Linked DNA regions of Elephas maximus indicus. The protein of the gene in region 2 interacts with the protein of the main gene of each other region in a pairwise test. Links are inferred from orthologs where the notes say so. Each region holds a gene or a part of one and is shown on either strand. Other genes may lie near its edges.

The links.
Region 1: the proteins of MOS (region 2) and SEC24C interact in binary tests that used the Homo sapiens proteins (3 or more experiments, as listed by UniProt). The two-hybrid records come from large-scale screens. The link is inferred for Elephas maximus indicus from reciprocal best matches to the Homo sapiens genes MOS and SEC24C.

Annotation. Positions count from the first base shown.
Region 1 is NC_064834.1:13,843,742-13,851,887, forward strand, and holds the start of SEC24C (protein transport protein Sec24C), read right to left. Parts: upstream 3,548-8,146; 5' UTR 3,444-3,547; intron 3,313-3,443; exon of another isoform or gene 3,145-3,312; intron 1,647-3,144; 5' UTR 1,619-1,646; coding exon 1,444-1,618; intron 1-1,443. UniProt on the Homo sapiens protein: Component of the coat protein complex II (COPII) which promotes the formation of transport vesicles from the endoplasmic reticulum (ER).
Region 2 is NC_064837.1:76,846,560-76,853,645, reverse strand, and holds MOS (proto-oncogene serine/threonine-protein kinase mos), read right to left. Parts: upstream 1,991-7,086; coding exon 956-1,990; downstream 1-955.

The DNA.
Region 1 (8,146 bases), on a different chromosome or scaffold from region 2:
CTCATCCTTTCCACTCCTCAGAGTTCCCATCAAGCTACTTCTACTACCCCAACCATCTGCTGCATACTACCCCGACTGTCCTTCCCAGGTGAAACACCAGAAGAAAACTAGCTACTTGGCACCATCACTTTTTTTCTTTTTCTTTTTTTTATTTACTGTACTTTAAGTGAAAGTTTACAAATCAAGTCAGTCTCTCATACAAAAACTTATATACACCTTGCTATGTACTCCTCGGAAACCCTGGTGGTATAGTGGTTAAGGGCTATGGCTGCTAACCAAGAGGTCAGCAGTTCAAATCCGCCCGGCACTCCTTGGAAACTATGGGGCAGTTCTACTCTGTCCTGTAGGGTCGCTATGAGTCGGAATCGACTCGACAGCAGTGGGTTTTTATTTTTTTTTTTTATGTACTCCTAGCTGCTCTCCTGCTAATGAGACAGCATGGCACCATCACTTTTGCTGTGTTTTGTTGTCAATAACAAAGCTGCCTCTTGAGGCAATGCCAAACTCCATCACGATAAGCCAGGACTTGGGAGAGCAGAGGTGGACTCTGACCAGCCAAAGTCCCAACCCACGGTAAAGATTTTTTACAGAAATGAGACCTAATCTCAACACCTCATGAATAACTTTTTCAAAGTTATAATTAAAATAGTAATACTTTATTCATTTCCTAGATCTTACTATGCCTCCTTGGTATCTTGTTTTTCCCATATTCCTTTACAGAATTTACTCTCTTAAAAGTAAAAATATAAAAAGTTTGCGGGCACACAGTAAGTCCTCAATTAGCCTAACTAAAGATCCTGCTTCTTCCAAGAAGCCCCTTTAGATAGTTTGTAAAGTACTAGCCGCCCTTCCTTGAAGAAGTAAAATAAAAGCCAAACACTGATCCTAAGGGCAGCACCAGGTTAGTCTTCTTCTATTGTCCTGAAATTACAGGGCACCTAAGAACCAAAGGAAACACAAGCAAAGGAAAAGGAATGCTATCAGCAGAAAGATATGAGAGGCATCAAAAATCAGGAACATGTACACCACACTTTTCCTCCATGAACACCACACTTTTCCTCCATGAACTAGCTCCAAGAGTCATTTATAGAACCTTCTGTCCACTGAAAGGCATTCTCAATACACAAGGAACAAGTGATTTCAGGAAGACTTTAGAACAATAAGAAATAGTCCTGGCCACAGTCTCTGGAGGAGCTGGGACCACAACCCTTTCATCCAGTTCTGACCAGAGTGAGGCTGCATCTCGGGGTGATACCCACCAGAAGTGAGCTGCCACTAAACCAGGAAGATATGCTTCCACTAGATGCTTAAGTTTGAACCAGAAACAGTCATCCTATGATAAAAACAGGGAAGGGCAGACTGCCCACAGGGATCTCAGTGACAGAGAACCAGATTCATGATTCCCTTCCACAGCTCAAAAGAAACTTAGAAATACATACATACCTGGGGGAGGTGTTTGCTGATAGCCTGGTACTGGGCCATTATAGGAGGTTCCATAGGGGACTGGGGGGACCATGGACCCTGATTGCCCACCATAGCTGGACTGATGATATCCTGGGTAGACAGACTGGGGCTGCCCATATGGCGGCAAAGGAGGAGCTGACTGGTTGACATTCATTATGAGAGCATCCCCGACTCAGTATCACCTATAAAATAAGAGAGAAGAAGGGAATTAGTCCAAACCAACTTTCTAAAAAGAAAGCAACCATTTGGGGTAGGAAGTAGAGACAAAAAGAACTGACTTTATCAGGAATCGTTCCCACAGTACAGGATCTTAGTAATTTTCTGCCCCAGCCAGTACCCATATTACCACCTGGGAGCAAGGATTTTGTTACTCTGAACCCCATGCTTTGTCACTACCAGAGGGTATAAATTTCAACTTCAGATAAGGCCACTGGAATGGAGCAGCAGCCTCCATTCCCCAGTGGTATGATTTCTAGTGTGTAGTCACACAAAGAGTCCTGGGGCTGATGAACTACTGTGATATTACAGGTAAATGAAACAATGCTCCTACTTTCCATTCATTCACTTTAGCATCCATTCATTCCACAAACAGTGAGTACCCTAGAGAGTGCCAGTCTTTTTAAACACCAGGCTACAAGTCTAAAACAGACCAGTGTAATTCCCTTCCCTTGGAAAGACAAATTTTACAGTAACTGATTAGAGAAATGACATTCTTTGGTTAAACTGTAATAATCCAAATGCTACTCCTACTCCATTCCTAGTTTTCTCATCAAAAGAGTATATGCACATTACAACTGAAACATCAAATTCCCTAAATGTAAAGGACTTCTGAAAACTCAAGCAAGGTACCAGATTAGAGCTGAGTGCAGGCCAGGAACAAAAACTTCTTCACAATAACCTATAGAATCAGTGACAAAGTTATAGTTCATCAAAAAAATCATTCATCTTATCCTTCAGAGTTGTTGTTAGCTGCCATCCAGTCACCTGGACTCATGGCAACGTGCACAATGGATGAAACGCCACCTGAGGCAGTGCCAACTCTCTGCTTCTGCTCTCCTTATATGCTTGTCATGTATCTTGGCCACCTCCAAAATTATTAGTCTTGCCTAGAGACAGAGGAATGAATGAGAGAGCCTTACTAGGATCCTTCAAAGAAGAGGACTGTGTGATGACATCTACTTTAAAGAGTCTCACCACTTCCAACTATCCCATAGACGGAAGGGGCCCAGGATGCAGCAGAACTCACAGCTGCTGCAGTGGAACAATGGACCTCTCCCCTTTGCTAGGAAGGGCCATCTCGACCATAGAAAAGCTAAGCTGCTCCTCGACAGGGCCTCCTTTGCCATCTCAGGATCTGTTCTTCCAAATTCTGAACCTTGCACAGGTCACTGACACTGATCTTGACAGATGCTCCCCTCCCCTAAAGTTAGTGGAGGGGGACAATAAAAAGCCCAGGAAATAAAAAGTCGAGGCTGGAGTAGGACACAGGCTTTCGACAAAGCAACATCTACCCCCTCTTCTTAAACACACCAAGCATTTAGAGTCAAGCTCAAGTCTCAACTCCATCCTGAAAGCAGTCGAGGATGACAACCTAAGGGGGCGGGGCAGGCTTCCTAGAACTCTGGAAGTAGTCGAACTGTGGAGGTGGTGGCTAGCAGTGCTGGAGATCAAGACCGAGGGGCCAAGCCAGCTTCTCGGGCCAGGATGAGAGACATCGCTGGTCCATTAAGCCTGGCGACCGAACGTCCTGCGCCCTTCAACAAGCTGGGGACAGGAAACGCGAGCCGGAATCTGGGCCGGGAGGCGAAGGGAGGGTCCAGAGCTGATCCTGGATTGTGGATGCGTGAGGTGAGGGTCTCTTCCTGGGTTCTGCCCCCGGACTCCTCCCTTCTTTCTCAGACGGGGCCCCGATCTGGCCAGTGATACCTCGGCCTCTATGCTGCTTTCCTACCCACCAACCACCCGATGCCACTCCTCACCCGGCTCCAGATCCAGGTCCGACTACGTTCCTAACGTCAAGGCTCCCAGGCTCCACTTCCGGTTCCGAGGGGGCTGTCGCGTCGTCCCCGGAAGTGCCGCCCCCACGCTGGAGAGCTTGGCCGCTCCGTCTGCCACGTCTGCACTAGGTGCGCGCTCGGGAACCCGGATGCTGCGCATGCTCCTCTCCTCATTTCCAGCATGGCCGCCGCCTAGAGAATCTGAGGATTTTTATTCATTTCTGCTTATTTATTTTTTTCGGGTATCTTTGTCACTTTCTGGCCCCACCGGCTGAAATCCGATTGAGAAGGATGGGTCGGACTATCCTTGGGGACGCCCCCTCTATCCTCCTGTGACGTATTGGTGACCTCTGATCTTGTGTTCCTGCTGAATCCCGACTTCCTTCTGACCCCTGGCCCCTGGCCCCATGTTCCCGTCTTCGAGGTTGTTTTCACCCGTGACCTTTGTTGGTCGTAGCATTTGCTGAATGTATGGTGGCAAAGAGCACTAACGCTGCTTTCAGGCCGCGTGTGTTCGAATTGTGGCTTTGCAGTTCGCTAGCTTTGGCAACTTAATCTCTCTGGCCCTCAGTTTCCTTCATCTGAAAAGTGGCGCTAATAACAACAGTGCCCATCTAATAGCTTGTTGATTCAGTTAGGCAAGTTACTGACAGTAAGAGGTTAGTAAAGGTCTGAGTCTGTTGCAAGAGCCACAGTTCTCGATTAATTATTACCTAGTGTAATGAATAACAATAATTGTCGCTAATATTTGCACACTTTTTTTCATATACATGACATCATTTATAACTTACAGCTATTTATTTTTTTAATAATTACTTTTTGAGCACTGTTGTGTGCCGAGCCACGTTCTTGGTGTTGTAGAAAGAGTATTGAACAAAACAAAATCTTTGCTCTCATGTTGTTGACAGTAGATACTAGTTATTCTCAGGCACAGAGTGGTTCATTAACTGAAAAAAAAAATTCATCGCATATATAGTCTCTGCTGGCAACTATTTGGCATTGAACATGCTTTAGTAAACAAGTAGATTGTCCTGTAGAGTTTATAGTCAAGATCACTGGTTCTGAAAATGTGATCCTGGGACCAACAGCATCAGTTACACCTGGGAACTTCTTAGAAATGCAAATTTCAGATCCACCCTAGACACTGAATCAGAAACTCTGGAGGTGGGCCTAAGCAATGTGTGGTTTAACCAGTCCTCTAAATCAGTTCCAGAGCCATGGTGTGCAGCAGTTAAAGCTGTCAGCTGCTAACAGAAAAGTGGGTTGTTCGAACCCACCGGCCACTCTGTGGGAGAAAGATGTGGCAGTCTGCTTCCATAAAGATTTTAACCGTGTCACTAACTATGTAGTAAACAAGTGTCAACTCCAGTGAAGGGAAGGACAGCACATAATACAGGGGAAGTCAAGACATTGGGACCAAAGCAAAAGCATAGGAGTTTCCTAGACACATCCAAACACTTTGAGGGAACAAGTAGCTGGGACGGGGCATAAAGACCGTAGTCTGAGGAGACATCCAGGTCAACTGGCATGAGATTATAAAGAAGATGTTCTACATCCCACTTTGGTGAGTAGAGTCTGGGGTCTTAAAAGCTTGCAAGCAGCCATTTAAGATACATCCATTGGTCCTATCCCACCCAGAGCAAAGGAGAATGAAGAAAACCAAAGACACAAGGAAAATACTAACCCAAAGGACTAAGGACCACATGAACCAGAGACTCCACCAACCTGTGACCAGATGAACTAGATGGTGTCCAGCTACCACCAATGACTGCCCTGACAGGGAACACAACAGAGAGTACTGGACAGAGCAGGAGAAAAATGTAGAACAGAATTCAAGTTCATGTAAAAAGACCAGGCTTAATGATCTGACAGAGACTGGAGGAACCCTGGAACTATGGCTCCAGGACACTGTTAACCCAGAACTGAAACCATTCCCGAAGCCACTTTCCAGACAAAGATTAGACAGGCCTATAAAACAATAAAACAAAAAATTAATACACGCGAGGAACGTGCTTCTTAGTTCAATCAAATATTCAAGACCAAATGGGCAGCTCCTGTCCAAAAGCAGGATGAGAAGGCAGGAAGGGACAGAAACTGGATAAATGGACACAGGAAAACTGGGGTAGAAAGGAGGAACTTGCTGTCACGTTGTGGGGATTGCAACCAATGTCACAAAACAATATGTGTATAAATTTTTGAATGAGAAATTCACTTGAACTGTAAACTTTCACCTATAGCACCTATGGGGCAGTTCTGTCCTATAGGGTCGCTATGAGTTGGAATCAACTCGATGGCAGTGAGGTTTGGTTTGATTTGGTCTGGGTGATTCCATTGCACACTGAAAATTGAGAACTACTGGTCTAGATTTGTGTTGTTTTTAGGTGTTGTTGAGTTGGTTCTGACTCATAGTGACTCTAAGTACAACAGAATGAAACTGGTCCAAATTAATACTTGTCAAATGCAACTAGCATTCGTTGAGCACTTGCTGTAGGCTGAGCCCTCTGCTAAGTGTTTTCACCAATTTGTTTCATTTAACTTTCGTATCAACATAGGAAAGTAGGTGTCCTCTGTCTTGCTCAAGGTTGCATCCTTCGTAAGTGGTAGAGCTCAGATTCATAGCTTCTTGAAGCTAATGTGTTGCATTTTGTTGTTTTCTGTATCTTCCGCTCAGTTGTTCTCAACCTTGGCTACATATTAGAATCGTCTGTAGCGCTTTTAAAAATACTGATACCAGGTAGCAGACCAACAAAATCAGAAGTTCTGGGGCTGAGGCCTGGGAATCATTATATATACATATTAATAAATTATTTTATTATACAGTCACCTAATATTATATGCTGTTTTATTTTAAGGACTCAGTAGTTTTAAAAACTCTTCAGGTGATGGAGCACAGTTCTACTCGGATACACGTGGGGTCACCATGAGTCAGAAGTGACTCAACAGCAACTTTTTTTTGAAGTAGTGGCAGTGCCTCCTTTCTGTGATGCTACAAAGCGAAGCAGGGTACACGATCACTGACCTCCCTGTTTGGGTAGTTGAATGGTACCTGTGTCTTTGCTTTAAGGGTTTATTTTCCTCTCTCCCCCTTGGTACATAGAGTGACCAGCCATCTTGGTTTGCCTGTTGTTGTTGTTAGGTGCCCTTGAGTTAGTTCTGACTCATAGCAACTCTGTATAAAACAGCATGAAACACTGCCTGGTCCTGTGCCATCCTTACAATCATTGTTATGCTTGAGCCCATTGTTGCAGCCACCGTGTCAATCCATCTCATTGAGGGTCTTCCTGTTTTTTGCTGACCCTCTACTTTACCAAGCATGATGTCATTCTCCAGGGACTGGTCCCTCCTGGTAACATGTCCAAAGTATGTGAGATGAAGTCTTGCCATCCTTGCTTCTAAGGAGCATTCTTGGTTTGCCTGGGACTGAGATAATTCCTGGGATGTGTAATTTTCGCTTTTAAAACCAGAAAGGTCCTTGGCAAACTAGGATGAATTGGTCATCCTACTAATAACTGAGGCTTTATGTGCCTATATGAAAATTAAGTAATTGTTTTTTCACTTTTTTATTGTCGTTCAACTTATGAGAGAACATATTGTGATGCAGATTTTTTGTTTACGACATAATTTTGAATAGATTATATTTTAAAATAAAAAAAAAAAAACATTGCCATCAAGTCAAATTCTGACTCATAGCTACCCTATAGGACAGAGTAGAACTGCCCCATAGGGTTTCCAAGGCTGTAAATTCTTATGAAAGCAGGCTCCCACATCTTTCTCTCTCAGAGCAGCTGGTGGGTTCGAACCACTGACCTTTCAGTTAGCAGGCAAGCACTTAACCATTGTGCCACCAGGGCTCCCCAGATAATAGTTTAAAATGGTTCAAAATCCACAGTTTAGAAAGTTATATGTAGTGAAGTCTCTCCATCTGCAACAAACAGAAATGCCTGTTTCACCATGCCTTCGCTAACAGTGTTAGCAAACGTTTGGATTTTTGTCGTTTTGATAGAAACGTGAAAAATGGTGTCTTAGATTTGTATTTCTTATGACGAAGGCTGAACGTCTTAATTTTTTAAGACACCTGTATGTTTTTAGTGTATTTTAAAAACATTTTTATGGTTGTCTTCTTGTAAGAGTTTTTTGTATAGATTGGAAATTAGGTATTTGTCTCTGATATTGAATTACAGATATTTTCCCTAGTGTGTAATTTATCTTATGAATTTGCTTTATGATGGGTTTTGCCATGCAAGTATATTTGATTTTTATGAAGATGAATTTATTATTTATTTATTTGGGGACTAAAAACCAAAACAACTCAGGTGACTCTAATGTGAATTCAGGGATAATTAAAAGCCACTGGTATAATATGATTGGCATGTAGTTCACAGCAATAAATGTTTGAATAATGAATGAATGGATATTTATATTCTCTTTTTACTGATGAGGTCAAGTGACTGCCTGAGGTCACCTAGCTAATACATGGTGGAACAAGAACTCAAGTCCAGGTCTTCAACTCAAAGTCCCAAGTGCTTCCCATGACCATATCACACACGAAGGCAAACAGCATTTAGGGCACTAGGAGAGCAGCTATTCTAAGGAACCTGATAGCTTTTGATAATCACAGTCACAGTACCATAATTTCATGTTTTGTAACAGAAAGAGATCTCTAAATGTAGGGCACATTCATTTAA
Region 2 (7,086 bases):
GCCCACGCAGAGCCTCGGCTTCCTTCCGGCGCGTGCCGTGAACTACCCCGTCCTCCACAATGGCCTTTCCCTCTACTGCTCAGTGAGGTTGCTGCTGCCAAGCGGAAGTTCAGAGTTGCCCTGATGACAAGATTCCACTCACCTCATTCTTTTAGGGACTTATGTGCCAGCAGCCGTTGCCTTTACTTCTATAATTGGCTATCTGGCTCTCCTTGCCTGTTCTCCTCTGTCCAAATGTTAAATTTTACTATTCTTTAGGGTTGTCTCCCCCACCGCATCATATAATCACCCTTTGTTGTGTCATTTATTTCTGAGTCCAAACACCAGGCAAAAGACACTCAGTTCAGAAGCATTTTAGAAAACGATTTTACTCACGGCAATGCACATGTTCAAAAAAAAAAATCACAGGTTCAAAATATCACAAATCATTTAATGTTTATTCTTTTTAAAAATAATTTTATCTCAGTTTGTAAATCTTACGTGTGAAGAATTTTTTTTTTGTGGGAAGGCACAGGAATTTTTTTTTTTTTTTTTTTTTTACTGATTTGACATGGAACCAAGTAACCTGCAAATAGTTTGAATTTATGTGATTTGAATTATTATTTAAATTTATAGAAAAAAATTGGCAATTCCACAGTTTAGTTCTGTTTGGACAAATTGGTTTTTTCAATAGAACATTTGGGAAAAGGCAATAGTATGGAACTGTTAAACACTAGCTGTGGGAAGCAAAGCCTACAGCTATGTAAAGGAAAAGGGTTAGTTATCAACAGTACTAAGACAAGTACTAGGTTTTTAGCTCAGGACTTTGTCTTAAAAAAAATCACTTGAGACTAAAGGAGGTTTTAAGTAACTTTATTTTCCAAAAGTCCATCCTATACATAGGTTTTCTTCTACATCTCCAGTTCTTTAAAAACGAATAGAAACAAGGAAAAGCATACCTGACACAGGCTTAAAGTCAGCAGAACTCAGATTTTAAAGAGTTAAGGTCAACAAAGAGAAGCTCTGCATTTGGCCTCTGGGAAGTACTGGCTCCCCAGCAGCTCTGGATGATCTTCTCAAGCCTTTGGCCCAGGACAGAGTCCGTGAAGACAGCCACTGAGAGAGATGGGCGAAGGTTGTGGGCCACAACAGCATAGAGCACATACTGTCGCTCCCCTGAGTAAGGCACCTCCTTGGTCGTCATCTGCCAGAGAGTTATGGCAAAAGAATAGATGTCAGCTTTGGGAGTTATGGTCTCTCCTTTCAGGAGCTCTGGGGCGCGGTGGGTGTAGGTACCGCCTAGGTGGTGAGGAGCGTGGAAGCCTAGCAGACCTTCCAGCCTCTGCGAGCAACCAAAGTCCCCAATTTTGCAGACGTCCTGTTCGCTGATCAGAATGTTCGCTGGTTTCAGGTCCAAGTGCACGATGCTTTGTGAGTGAAGGAACATCAGGCCCTTCACAACATCGAGGGAATACTTGAGACACTTTGTCAGACTTAACAGCCCTCCAGCAGAGCAGGAAGGCTCCTCGGGGAGGCCGGTAGCCCCGTAGATGAGTTGGTGTAAAGTGGTGTTGCCCCCGAACTCCATGACGATGGTGCCTAGACTATTAAAACCCGCGGGCGTGCGCGTACTGGCAGCTACCACCCGCACGATGTTGTCGTGGTGGAGCCTGGCTATGTTGAGCTCAGCCCAAAAGCTTCGCTGCGACGCCAGTCGGTTCTTGGTGCTCTTGTTCACTTGTTTTATGGCCACGGGAAGCCCATGGTAAGTGGCCTTGTAGACCGAGCCAAAGCCTCCAGCGCCCAGCCTTTGCAGGAAGCGCACCTGTTCCCAGTCGATGGAGCACCAGGCCAGGCGGCGGGGCAGCCGAGGTGCCCTGGGAGGGGTGCCACCCAGGACGCGCTGTCCCCGCCGCCCTGGGCGCTCGCAGGGGCTGCTGCAGGGCCGCGAGTCCCCAGAGGGAGACAACTCGCCCGGGAGGACACGGCGCACAGACAGGGGCGAGGGCATAGCACTCTCCAGGTGGAGCCAATACTCAAGGAAAGGAAAAAGAAAAACTGCGCGCGTTAGGACGCATGACTAACAGCCCTTCGCCCACCGAAGCCTTATTACCCTCTTGCCGCATTTTCTCCAAACGAGCCACGTCTGAGATGCTACTCAGCAAGGACTTTCATCAGATGGGGCGAGGGAGACGGGGGTTGAAGGAAGTACAGCAATCGCTTTCAGATGAAAGCATTTCCCCTAAATACGGTGGTTTCTAACAAAAACAAGCTCTCACTACATCAAGTTCACCGTCTAAAGGGCACTGCATTGTCCTTTGACTCACCCAGCTTTGACACTATTTTTTTTATTATAATAAAATGGACTTTTGGCAATTCTCCTTCTCTGAACATTATCAGTCCTAAAGAGACCACACCAATAAAATGGAATGATTTCACACTTTGCAGATTGTCAGTGCTTCTCTCCAGCTGCGGTAAATAACTTCCAGCAGTTATTGGCAGAAAGAGTTGAAATACAAACAGCAAACGTTTGTTTAACCAAATATGGGGATATTAGGTGCAACATTCATCGGGACACAGGTCAAAACACACACCTCCTGAGTTCATGGGGAAAGGAAGCCGCACCCACACTCCGTTCAGTTTATACAGCAAATTAGCAAGACTTCTCACCAACGTGGCTCCCTGGTGGCACAGTGGTTAAGAGCTACGGCAGTTCAAACCCACCAGCCGCTCCCTGGAAACCCTGTGGGGTAGTTCTACTCTGTCCTATAAGGTGGCTAGGAGTTGGAATCCACTTGAAAGCAATGGGTTTGGGTTTTGGGTTTAGTTTTTGGTTCTTATCAACCTACCAACTTCCTGCCAATCCTCCATTCCCTTGGCAATATGGCCCGCCCAGTTCACTCCCTTGCACTCTAGACTTTTCAGTAAATGAGTTACAGAAATTTTGAAGCAGAGTTGAGGATGGAGGGTGGGGGGTGGGGGGGTGGCGCTGGAGAACAACAAAAAAGTTTAGAGTCATAATGAAAGCGTCATATAATAACAAACATGGGAGAATTAATGCAGAGTAAAAATCTGAAGAAATTAAATGTCTCAGTTTCACTAGTGTCTATATAAAACCAGATGTTGAAATAAAATTCAGGGGCTTGTCACTCAACCATAAAGTCTTCCTTTCTAACTTTTATAATGAAAAAAAATTATTTTTACGCCATTGTCTTTGGAAAGCTAAACTAAGCCCATGCCATCAAGCTGACTCTGACTCCAGGTGACCCCACGGGTTTCAGAGTAGAACTGGACTCCACAGGGTTTTCAAGGGTATCACCTTTTGGAAGCAAATCATCAGGCCTTTTTTTCGAGGCACCTCTGGTGGGTTGGAACTGCCAACCTTTCAATTAGGAGAGCTTAGCCATTTATACCACTCAAGGACTCCATCTTTAGAAAAAAGACCAACAATGTCACCTGATTAGTTAAAAAGCACAGAAGAATGTACTTTTTAAAAAGTCAAATGGCAACGTTTCATTCTGACTTACTGTACCCAGAGCACACAGGTTATGGGTAACCACATTTTTATGACAGCTTCTGTGTTTCTAACATATTGGTTCGGAAAACACACATTAATAAACCCGAGCTACTTATTAACATAAGCAGTTTGAGGTTTATTGAGCCCTATATAGGATTTCTCTTCTGCACTATTCCTCTGGATTAGTATGTAATCTTGGATATAATATTTAATTTGTTTGAGCCTCACTCTTTTCACGTAAGAAATTAGGATAATTTATTAAAATAAAAATTATTATTGTGAAATTAAATTTGGGGAATCCTGCCCAAATTACCAACAAAAAACCAAATCTAAAAATTTAAACTATAGAATATTTTAGTAGAAAGGCAATTGTATGCAATTGTACTGAGCCCCAAGTATACAAGGATGACAATGAAAATGAGTAAAATGAAAAATTAATAAAACTATATTCAATGGCTCTATATTGCAAAATTTATTCAATAGTTGGAATTAGAATACTGATGACTCTGAGGACTCTGCATAATGCTAGGAGTGCTGTGAAAATTCTCAGAATAAAAGCACTAGAGCACTGTGCCTCCTAGGTATTACACAGAATGCAGGATGATGTGATTTGTTGTCATATAATATTTATTTAAAAGATAACAACAAGCAATTTTTTTAAAGTGCAGATTTTATGTTTTACATAAAACACAGGGCATTCACAAAAATGTGGTCCTTTTTACACTCAAAAAACACAAACTCATCTGAAAAACTATTTAATTCAGTATCCATTTTAAAAAAAACAGTCATTTGTCTCCTTTTTTTAGGCATCTGAAAATAAGCTTCTCTTTCTCAGCAAACTGCAGGCCCCCTGAAGGCAAGACCTATGTCCCCTGTTGATTTTTTCTTCCCTGCGAGTAGCGTGGTGACTGGCACATGTTGTTATTGTTGTTAGTTGCTGTTGGGTCGAATTCGACTCATGCTGACCCCATTTGTGCAGAGTAGAACTGCTGCACAGGATTTTCAAGGCTATAACCTTTTGGAAGCAGATACCCAGGCCTGTCTTCCAAGGTCCTTCTGAATTTAATTTTTAATTCTGATTTTGTTACCATGGATGTATGCACTAAATAATATTTTGGATCTCAGAAATGGATAAAGCCTAACATGGTGGGAAAAAGCAAAGGCTCTGGGGACAGATGGTCTGGGTATCTTGCTGTCTCTGTGCCTCAGTTTCCTCATCTGCAAAATGAGGAAAATATTAGGTTTCCCTAAGGATTGTTGTGAGGACGAACAGAGCTTCATATATTTAGATAGGGCCCTGGCTTAGAGGAAGTGATATAAAAATGTTAGTTATTATTTATTCAACTCATAAAAACCATGGTGTCATCTAGTTGTCTAGTGCTGCTATAACAGAAATGCCAAAAGTGGGTGGTTTTAACAGAAATTTATTTTCTCACAGTCTAGGAGGCTAGAAGTCTGAATTCGGAGTGCCATTTCCAGGGGAAGGCTTTCTCTGTCCATTGGCTCTGGAGGAAGGTTCTTGTCATCAATCTTCCCCTGGGTTTAGGAGTCTCTCAGCGCAGGGACAGGTCCAAAGGACATGCTCTGCTCTCAGCTCTTCTTCCTTGGTGGTAGGAGGTCCCTCTCCTCTTTGCTGGATCCTCTCTTTTATATCTCAAAAGAAATTGACTAAAGATACAATCTATTCCTGTAAATTGCATGCTGCCTCATTAACATAACTGGCTCTAATCCCACCTCATTAACATCATAGAGGTAGGATTTACAACACAGAGGATAATCACATCAGATCATAAAGTGTTGGACAACCACACCCATACTGGGAATCATGGCCTAGCCAAAGTGACACATATTTTGGGGGGGGGGGGGCACAATTCAATCCATGACACATGGATATGGGTTTACACCAATAAGAAATAGATTTGTTAGACAGTATTGGTTGAAAATGTATCCTACCCGGGCTGAAGTAACTCATTTTACTATAAGTTAAACCAATTTAAACTTTGAGAATTTTTTCTGCTTTAAGTTTTTACTTCTGAGGTTAAAGGTGTAAAAGTACATTGCATTATTGTTATAGACTAAAAACGCTGAGGGTTAACATTCATCTGAAAATGTAACATCCCTAAATCATGCCTAGACAAAGACAGAAGAGCAGAATTTCTTGATAACATCTTCAGTAGCTCTACCAACAGGTGGGGTGGTAGATGAAACAAAGGAGAAAAAACAAGGAAACCGTGTGGGGCTACTGCCAAAGGAAGTCTCTTAGAAGAAAAGGCTTTCCTTGCTCTGCTTTCATGGGAAGCATGACTTAGATGTTTAACTACCATGTAAGCAACAGTATATTTATCACAAGATGTTACTATAGATACCAGAATTAATCGCTCACTTAAATACGATTTTAGGGAAAGAGAATGAATGAGAAACAAGGATTGGTTAAGGCCAACCTCTTTCTGGATAACCCGCGGGGTTGCTGCCGCTCTTAGGCTGGTCGAGTGGCCAGGTGGTGCGGGATCTGGGAGTTTTCCTCCTTTGCCGGGCAGGGCCGAGGAGGTGAGTTTTCCCTTCATAGATTCATGGTCACTGGGAGGTGAGCGTCTTCTGTTCAAGGTCTTTAGGACCGGTTGATATCGCCGCCCACCTGTAGGGCTCACTGGCCTCCAAGGCCTCTTTAGCTTTGAGGTTTCTGTGGCTTGGCTCGCGAACCCCACCCCTCCCATTACCGCCTGGTGTGTGAATCTCCTGACAAGCTGAAAGGCATTTTCACCTATGCTGTGTCTGTTCCTTTTCCTTTCATAGCTGTCAGATAGCATGTAAGTGAGGCCATCTTCCCCCAAGATGACTTTCTTACCTAATATTGAATTGGATCCCTGGTGGCTCAGTGGTCATGAGCTATGACTGCTAACCAAAATGTTGACTGTTTGAATCCACCAGCCGCTCCTGAAACCCTATGGGGCAGTTCTATTGTGTCGTATAGGGTCGCTATGAGTTGGCATCGGCTCCCTGGCATCGGATTTGGTTTGGTTTTGGTTAATATTGAATTAAGCCAAGCTTCTGTGTTCCCTTGCCCTTCTGGTAACACAGTAACTTCTCATTTCAATTCTGAATTATCATGTAATCTTTTGGGAAACATTTTAAAAAATTATTTTTTTTTGTTGAGAGTATACTTAGCAAAACGTACACCAATTCAACAATGTTTACATGAACAATTCAGTGACATTGATTACATTCTTCAAGTTGTGCAGCCATTCTCACCCTCCCTTTCCAAAATGTTCTTCCTCCACTAACATAAACTCACTGCCCCTTTATGTTCCTAAAGTTACTGTTATCAATTTGATCCCATATAGATAGTTCTTTAAAGGGCTCGGTGGTCAAGGCAGACCATTCTTTACTAGTTAAGCTAAATTTTTGTTTGGTTTTAAAAAAGATTTTGGGGGGATATTTTTGGTTTAAGATTTAAAGATTATCTCAGGGCAATAGTTTGGGGGATTCAATCCAGCCTGGATTCCACCTGAATTTGACATTCCGTTCTGCATTTTGATCAGGGTTCTTTAGAATCTTTGATAAAAACATTCAGTAATGGTAGCCGGGCCCCA